Coturnix japonica: one gene and its partner. The protein of the gene in region 1 purifies or fractionates together with the protein of each later gene. This does not show direct contact. Links are inferred from orthologs where the notes say so. Each region holds a gene or a part of one and is shown on either strand. Other genes may lie near its edges.

The links.
Region 2: the proteins of STRN (region 1) and CCT4 purify together in Homo sapiens (affinity purification with mass spectrometry; 3 studies listed by BioGRID and IntAct, with this or other methods). This does not show direct contact. The link is inferred for Coturnix japonica from reciprocal best matches to the Homo sapiens genes STRN and CCT4.

What each region holds. Positions count from the first base shown.
Region 1 is NC_029518.1:28,841,757-28,846,245, reverse strand, and holds the start of STRN (striatin), read right to left. Parts: upstream 3,168-4,489; 5' UTR 3,079-3,167; coding exon 2,794-3,078; intron 1-2,793. UniProt on the Homo sapiens protein: Calmodulin-binding scaffolding protein which is the center of the striatin-interacting phosphatase and kinase (STRIPAK) complexes.
Region 2 is NC_029518.1:13,361,151-13,365,805, reverse strand, and holds the start of CCT4 (T-complex protein 1 subunit delta), read right to left. Parts: upstream 3,189-4,655; 5' UTR 3,044-3,188; coding exon 2,926-3,043; intron 2,569-2,925; coding exon 2,516-2,568; intron 2,246-2,515; coding exon 2,156-2,245; intron 1,604-2,155; coding exon 1,495-1,603; intron 1,370-1,494; coding exon 1,227-1,369; intron 905-1,226; coding exon 783-904; intron 642-782; coding exon 509-641; intron 179-508; coding exon 39-178; intron 1-38. UniProt on the Homo sapiens protein: Component of the chaperonin-containing T-complex (TRiC), a molecular chaperone complex that assists the folding of actin, tubulin and other proteins upon ATP hydrolysis.

The sequences.
Region 1 (4,489 bases):
ACGAAAGGAAAAAAAAACAACAAAAAACCGAAAGAAAAAGAAATTGGAGCTGAAGCACTTTGCAGAACAGGAAACCCTTTCTTGTCAACTCTCCCAAGCAGCTGCTATAGAACGTGGGAAAAAGAAAGTCACTGCTTTCTGAAAAGATACGACAATAAACGACAGTGCTAAGTACGTGGTTTGTTAACACTAGGAGGATAATTCATCCAGTCAGTACTCAGTGAATTACCACTACAAGGCACCACGAAAGCTTATTCTTGGGATAGTTCTTCAATCTGCAGATGTCGAAGTACCGTAAACACGAAGCAAGAGTTAATAATGAAATCCATAATTAGCAGATAAGCATAGAGGGAAGCCCTGTGCGACTGCTTTCAGTCTGCCTCAAAACATGCAGCTTGCTGATGGTACTCACGGAGATATAAATATTGAAGGCCTCTGAATGGGGAAGATTATATAACAGAGGCAAGAACCATTTTTAAAGATTAAAGAAAAATAATTAGAAAATCAGAGTAAACACAGATATTTGCCAGGGAAAGCAAATGATAAGTAGAATAGGCAAACAGGCAGAAAAAAAAAACTTTGTTAAAGCAGCAACTAGGCCAGCAAGTATGAACAGAACCAGTTTCCCAGCATATCAACTCGTTTGTTTTTAACTGCAGCAAGGGTGGGGGGCACCTGAGCAGGCAGCCTGCAGCACAACAGGAAGGTGTGCTGAGCATCACGTGGAGTTCCACACAAGTAACTGCAAAGGGAGGGGGAAAAAAAAGAGAAAAGGAAAAGAAGCCCAGAGGGGAAGAAAAGGAAGGCAGGAAATCGCAGTAGGATTGACTTACAAGGTGTTTTTTTCAGAAAGAGTATAGCTTAACTAACCGTCGAGCACAGAGCAGCAGCCAAGCAGAGCAACATCTGAGGGACTTAAGTATCACAGTGGTAAGGAACCAGAGATCATAAGTCTGCCTTTGAGGAGCAAGATGCACTACACATAAAATGTATGGCACACAGAGAATGCCGTACAAAGCAGGATCTCTGCCACATGGCCTCCCAAGAGAGCAGACAGCCTAGCATTTAATTTACACTGGCCAGAAGACCTTGGAGTACAATCAGAGCACTGCATCTTTATCTCGAGAGACAGAAACTGCATGACCTCTGACTGCCATTATTCTGTTAAACAATCCACAGCATCCAGGCCCATGAAGGGCTTCAAGAGGAACGTGGAATCTGCCTTTAATTAATGCTGCTCATTGTGGGGCTGTGCATGTACCATTGCTCAGAGCCCCCTCGCTGCTGCCGAAGCCACAACACAAACCTCTCATACGGATCAAAGAGCATTCGGCTGAGAACGGTCGTGGCAGACGTCACACACCCAATGTCTGCAGGGACAGTCAAGAATTTTGCACCTTCCTGAACATGACTCTGCAGTAGATAAATGCTGTTGCAGCTTGTGGCGATGCCAGTCACAGCTAATTATAGCTTTATTGAGACATTTTGGCAAGAGTCGAAGGAGTTCCAGCAAACAGCTTGTATTGGGGTTGTGCTCCTGCCCTGCCACTGACAGCGCATGACTTTGGCACATCACGCATGTGCTTGGCCCCTTCTCATGCTAGCTCAGCTCTGACACCCACTGCTCCCCAGAGGGACACTGGGGAGGTGGGATGCAGGAATGGCCTCTGGGGGGACACTGAGGGCACATACAGCTCTGCTGCTGCTGGGCATCGGCAGAATCGCTTTGGTCCCAAGGAACTTGTTTTCCTCCAGAGCACCCTGTGAGATTCCTATCAGCAATGAAAAAATACCCAGTGGAGTCTCATAAATACCTTAGGGTGCGACGAGCAACGTTGTTATTATGTGCAGTTGAACTAGTTACTTTCTACATCATATTTACCGGATGTTGTGAGCAACATATAGAATCACAGAATAATAAGGTTGGAAAAGACCACTAAGATCATCTAGTCCAACCATCAACCCACCGCCACTGTGCCCGCTAACCATGTTACGAGCAAATCTTTCACCAAATCACTGAAGCTAAAACACAAACCGCATCTCTCCTGTGCTTATGGCCACTTCCTTTGCACTCCTACACGGGGAGCAGCCACCACTCCCCTCCACGAGGGTTTGCCTGATGTTGTCATTGGAAGTACGGCTAAGGAACCGACTTTCCTCCTCACTTGAAACGAAAACGAAGAAAAATGAAACAATAACAACGAAAGAGATAAGCGGTTCTTGCCGTTAAACAGACTTTAGACTCTCGACAAAGACGATACTTTCAAGGAAAGGAACAGAAAGAACAGAACTGCCAGGAAGGAAGAGGAAGGGAATGAGACCCAAGAGGAAGCGCTCCCTGCCCCGAGCACGGCGCTGGGAAGGACCCACAAGGGGCTCCCGGCGCTGCGGGCGGTTAAGATTTACAACCGAGATTTGCTCGTGAACAAAGCCGAAGCAGCACCGCGGTGCAGGCCGCGCCGCCCTCTGTTATTACCCTCTGTTATTAGCGTTAATACGAGGCGCGCATCCCGGAGCGCCCGACCGCGGTGGCTGCGGGCCAGCACTTCACAAGTTCCCTAAACCACAAGATCGCTATCGGAGCTCTCGCAACGCGCCCCTCAGCCCCGGCGTCGCGGAGCCGACTCCTCCCGCCCACGGCCCACCCGGCCGCCCCCCGCAGGCCGCCGCCATGTCACGCCCCTCCGGGCGGCGGCGAAGAACCGGGGCCGGGGGGAGGCGCTCCACCCCCCACCCCCCGCGGGCCGGGGGCGCACTGGGGAGCGGGGAGGGGGGCCGGGGTGGCGGCGTTACCTGCAGCTCCGCCCGCTCCGCCTCCCACTCGGCGCGCTCCGCCTCGAAGCGGCCCCACTCGTGCTGCAGGAAATGCAGGATGCCCGGCACGCTGTACTGAGCCCGCGACGCCGACACCGGCGCGGCGACTCCGCCGGAGGAGACCCCCGCGCCGCCGCCTCCCGCCGCGGCCGCCGCCGCCTCGCCCGGCTCCAGCCCCGGCCCGCCCGTCGGCGGCGGCAGCAGGAGCGCGTTGTTGTTGTTGTTGTTGCTGAAAAAAACGCCGGGCCCCGCTTGCTCGTCCATGGCCGGGCCGCGTCTGCCGCGCCGTGCAGCGCCGCCCACACCGACACCGGCCGCCGCCGCCGCGCCCAGCCGCGTCCCGGCAGCGGCACAACCTGGGCGCGTCCCGCCCGCCGCCGTCACCGCCTGACAGCCGCCCCCGCCGGCTGCTACCGCGGCCCGCAGGGGACAAGGCAGAGCGAGCTTCGCGCCGCCAACCGCACGGCACTACGGGAAACGTAGTTTAGTGGGGCGGCGGCACGCGGGGCGGGCGGAGAGAGGACGGCAGGGAGCGGGGCTGCTGCTCCGCCCTGCTGCCACAGCGGGGCCGAGGCCGCGGGCAGAGGCTCCTCCCCGCGCACTGACACTCGGGGATCGGGGTGAGCGCACACAGAGTCACAGAATGACCCGGGTTGGAAGCGACCTCAAGGATCATGTAGTTCCAACCCCCCTGCCTGGCAGGGCCACCAAACATACACCTTTACTAGATCAGGTTGCCCAGGGCCCTTTGATTCAAAAGATCTGCACCTCACAGCCTGGCTTCAGTGGTTTCGGCACGCTTGCAGCCCACTTTAGGGACGTAACGAGGGCTGCTTCCTGCAGCAGCTCCACAACCCCCCATCAAATCCTACCATTTCAGTTCCTTGCTGGTGAATTCCTTGCTGTTTTGGCAATGTTCTGAGCACGGGACCTTACACTTAGAGAATCATTAAGGTTGGGAAAGACCTCTAAGACTATCTAGTCCAACCATCAACCTACCCCTGCCATTCCCACTAACTGTGTTCCTCAGTGCCACACCCACACAGCTCTGCCAGAGCACTGAAAGCTACCAGTCCATCCCAGCAGCACTTCAGCTTCCCTTCCCTACCGCTCAGAACACTGACAAGGAGAGCACAACAGCATTTCTTGGAAATGACCACTTCTGAAAGGATAAACTAGACTTCCTGAGGCTGATGCTGACACCACAGGCTGGGGGGTCACAAACCATTAGGCACACAGAGATGATAGTTTGCTCTGCTCCAGTAGCACAAGAGCTTTCTAAAGAGACACACACCACTACCACACCCTACATTAGCACCACCATCTCCACGTGAGAAGTGATGCAGGAGGAGAGCGGTGAGGCCAAGACATGCTGTGGGCCATGCTCAGCCTGCGGCCCAGAGAAGCAGGTCCCACACAACCCTGCTTGCTCAAGCAGCGCTTCCTGTTTCTTTCTGGCTGTTCTGAACTCACACTTGTTGCTCTGTTAACCACCCTGAGGAAATGTGACTGCGCTGGGTGGGTAACCTCTCTAAACAGGGGAGCAATAAACATGGAAACTGGCAGAAAGGATCAGGGAGCAGAGGAGAACAAGAACCCACCAACAGGGAATGCTCATCGGGAGAAACTTTATGAAGAAACAGGGCAGAACATCACTGCTCACCAAGAAAGGAAG
Region 2 (4,655 bases), about 15 Mb from region 1:
AACGACCAAAGCAGGTGAGCAAACCAGCACTGACGTACCGCAGAATAGACTTCTGGATCAGCAGCACGTTGCATCCAGCCTTCTTAATTTGCTTCACTAAGTTTAGAATATAAGCTCTCTCCTCACGCAGTACTCTGTCCATTTGAGCGTAATCAGAAACAACAATTTGGTTGTCCATCTATTGAAAAAGAAACAAGTATCATGAACGAGTGCTCATTTTATAAGCATTGGGATGCTATATATTCTTTGATTTAATAGCCTGTGATTTAAAGTACGTACAAACAGATTACAGCCAAATGTACTATTAGAATTTGTTTCTATGAGAGATACTGGAGTTCTGAACTGTTTTCTCATGCCAGCTACAAATTGTTTAAGAGTTATGAGTAATGGGGGTTCATTACTAGCAGGCCTTCATTACAGCTGTGGAATAGAGCTGCCATTACCACATCTTAAACAAGATCCGTATTTTGCTGTTACATTTACGTTTTCTCACTTGAGTTAAACTTACATCTGTCTTTGGAGCAGAGAGGCAGAACTGAATTAGGCCAATTTTGGCCTTTTCCACTCTAGTTACACCTGTGTTGGCCACCTTCTGAGTCAGGACCAGCCCTTCCACCAGCTCACAGTCGTCAATTGTTCCTCTGCAAACAAAAACAATCCGTGGCTATTAGTGCCTTGGGAAGCAATTCCACAATGACACAGGCCTATAATTAAGATAATTAATTTAGATTTAAATAAGAATATCTAAATAATTTAGATAATTAAATAAGATTGTTTCTTACCCCAACTTCTTCACTATTTTAATATCTCTGAGGTCCACGCTGTTAGCCATAGATGGGTCAATCACCTTCATCACTGCATCCACGCTCATGGGAGAAAGTAAGCTGGAATACTGACACACAACCTAAAGGATTTAATGAGGGAAGGGAGAAAAATACATCAGCAATGCATGATTTAACACTGATCAAAAACAGCCAGCAGTTTCTCAAGGTTCTTATTCTGTTTTAGTTTGACTTTATAATCTTGGAAAAAAAACCAACAATTCCCCTCTCTGTCCATCAGGCAGGTGCATCAACGTGGTTATCTTCTTAATAAGAGGAAAGAAGAGCCCCACTGGTGGGAAGAAATAAGCTCAGGGACTTTGGAAAACGAATTTGACTTTATTTCTTTGACTCTTAAAATAAAACCATTGAGAGCTTTGCAGATTGTTCACGTATCAGCCATACCTTTGAGTTCAGTGATGTAGTTGCACTGTTCAGCAGGGTTTCTCTGTCGCTCAGTTCCACTGGCTGTGCCATGTTGGTCAATACCTCAATACCTTTCTCCAAAGCTTTCTGGAATGACTCTGAAATGATGGTGGGGTGAATTCCTGTGAATAACATAGAAGGTTGTTAGGTCACCCTTGCAAACCAGCGGTCTTTCCTCCTCTCTCCAAACCAGTCTTATATATGAAATATGTATTATATGTTATATATATAAAATAAATATGCTTGCCTTTCTGAAGGAGTCTGGAACAGGCATCCAGAAGAGCTCCGGCAATGACAACAACAGATGTAGTACCATCCCCAGCTTCAATATCTTGTGCTTTTGACAGCTCTACCAACTAAATGGACGAGAGTTTAAATGTAATGTGACTTCACTGAAAACTCTGACAGTTAGAAATAAAAAAGATATGACAGAACACAGCACTACCAGAATTACCCACAGTACCAGGGCTTATCTTTTCTAACTTGCAGCTTCTCATACGTGTATGCATATTTGGCTGGAGCAATAACAGAAGCCTCCAACAAAATAAAAGCTGTATCCTAGGATCACCAGATCATCATGTCATTTGTTTTCTTCTTTGACTCTCCTTTGTCCTACTGGTTCAGGACATCACCAACTTTTCTTTCTCAGATAAGAAAAGCTTTGGGTCAAAAACCTTTTATATCTTCAACCGTATCCAGAAAAGATTATTCCTAAGCAGTAAGAAATAAGGACCTGGAATCCTTTAACGCATCTCACAATCAATGTCAATAGACCTGAAGCACTCAGCAGAAAGGCTGTTGCTCTATCACAGACGACACCCACGTGAGACATTACAATCTGTGTTCACTTGTCCCAGAAATGAACCTCTACCGTGTACCGTTGTGCAAGTGATGTTACAAGTATTTACCATTTTGGCTGCGGGGTGTAAAACCTGCATCTGTTTCAGGATAGTAGCACCATCATTAGTGATTGTCACGTCTCCTTTAGCATCCTGAATCTGAGAAGGAGAAACAGCACTGGTTGGCAGCTAGTAATGTTTATCGTGATTCAGCGTCAGACAGCTTGACAAATAACCTTGTGAGGAAAACTGAGATAAGAATTTAAGCTACATTTTACTACAAAGAAATAACATTTGATCATAAAAACAAAGGAGTGCTTTCCAAGCTTGGAAAAGCAGCTTAAGACAAAGGAGCACATTGGTGAGTTACACAGGGCATGACAGTCTCTTCAGCAATCTCAGTTTTTGTATTTCCATTAAAAGCCTTACCATTTTATCCATTCCCTTTGGTCCGAGGCTCGTTCTAATGGCATCAGCGACAGCTGGAAAGAGAAGAACGCCATTTACAAGATGATCTACAGAGCTACAACCACTCATACACCATCCTCAACAGCGTCTCCCACTACAAAGGCACCCTCCTCATTTTACCAGCACCGAGTCACACTCAAGAACAGAACAGCAATAATACAATAATACAACGGGGCCATTTTTGCAGCTTGCCCCTGAAGCTGGCCGAGCCTTCCCGCTTTAAGGCGGCAGGAGCGAGCAGAGCGTACAGCGGCCTGTAAGTACATCAGCCTATCAGTACATCGGTCTATCAGCACAGCGGTCTATCAGCACAGCGGCCTATTAACACAGCGGCCTACCATCAGGCAGCGCCGATGCCCCGCGGCCCTCACCTTTGCCGGCGGAGATGTTGCTGAAGCGGATCTGGGAGGGCTTGTCCCGGTCCTGGTACGTGCCCTTGGCCCGATTCCCGGCCCCGCCGTGCGCTTTGTGTCCCGTGTTCTCCGGCATGGCCGCTCGCCGCCGACACACCCCCGGTCCGAGCGGATGGGGACGGATTCGCCCCGCTCAGCTCACGGAGCCGCGAAGCTTCCAGAACACGCCGCCACAGCCCCGCAGCGACACCGGGTCCTCACAGCCGGCGCCAGGCGGCACGTCACGCATAGAGCTGTCTGCGCAGCGCCTGAGAGCTGGGAGCCAAGAATTCCCTTCGTGCAGGCGAGCTGCGCGGACACCTAAAGGAACAGGCCGCGCGGGGTCCTGCAGCACTTCCCGCGCTGTGGTGTTACCTCAGGGCTGTGGAGGAAGCACAGTGTAAAGCTGTTGCTGTCACAGTCACCTTGTTTTACCTCACTGTGTTTGGTCAAAACAAAAGCCTCTCTAATATCGAAGGTAGCTTAGGGCTGAGGCTTGCTGCTTGCTCCGTTGTGCTTAGAGCCAGCATGCACTTCCAGTCTTCTTGTTTGAGAACTAGATTTAGGCCGGGAGGTGCCGGCACGTTATCTTGTTCTTCTTACCCTCTTACCATCGTTTCTGACTGTTCTGCCCTCCAGAATTTGCAGGGAGCAGTGAGAAGAATCGTACTGTTCTCATAGACTGATTTAGCAGTCTGGGTTTTCCCGGCCAGCAGCCCCCTTCTTGATCTTTAGATGTCCATGGTTCTCCTCTACCCCATCAGACTGGCAGATCTCTTCCTGGTCATAATGCTACAAAAAGAGTAAAGAACAGATGAGCTGCTGCAAAGCAGTACAGGACAGGGACTGTCCCTACTGATAATCCTCATCACTTCCACTTACTGATCTAAAAACAGGTGAGCACCTCAGTACGAAACAAAGAGTTGTGTGATCAGCAACACAAGCATCTAGAAACTGAAGTTGCAGCTGAACTTATTCACACCGAGGTCCTTCCTTTCCTTCATCAACACTCTGGAGGGTTTTGTTAACTCTGGGGAGGTTACGGTGGAGAAAAGAAGCTGCTGGAGGCTGAATCGTGGCAGAATGTTGGGGTAAATGCTGCTGAGCCTTTGAAGAATTGCCGTTTGGTTAAGGGGTTTAGGACCACAAGTGCAAGCTCCGTTTCTTCACTAAGGTGTTTCCATGTGGAATAGTACCGAGGGTGATTCCATCCTCTCCCTGTAGGTGGCAGCAGAGCACCAGTCTTGCTCTGAGGGGTTATTCCCTGAATACATTGTTTCCAAAAAAACTGCTATTTATCGTCTTGCTTGATTATGTCTTAAAGAGGTTGAAATTACTCTTGATATGCTGCCCTGCTTCAGAACAAACTACGTACTTTGGATTGCTGATAAAAAGTACCAGGAGTTGAAACGTTGTTTTCTTTTATGAATGTTTGTTTCCATGGACATGAAGCATGTTCCCACCTGTGATAAATATCTCTATTTCATACATGAAGCGTGAACCAGATCCTTCTTGGAAAGCAAGATTCTGAGCCCTCAGAAATGACATCTGTTGCGCTGAAGACGACGTGGTCTCTCAATTCCCTTGCAGCCCACAAAGCTGTGAGGTGTCTGAGCCTTGAGGAGAATGACTTTTCTTCTGAGTGGAGGCCTTTTCAGGGATCATCTCTCTTTTTCCAGAGTTTCTTCTATGTAAATGACTCCATGAGA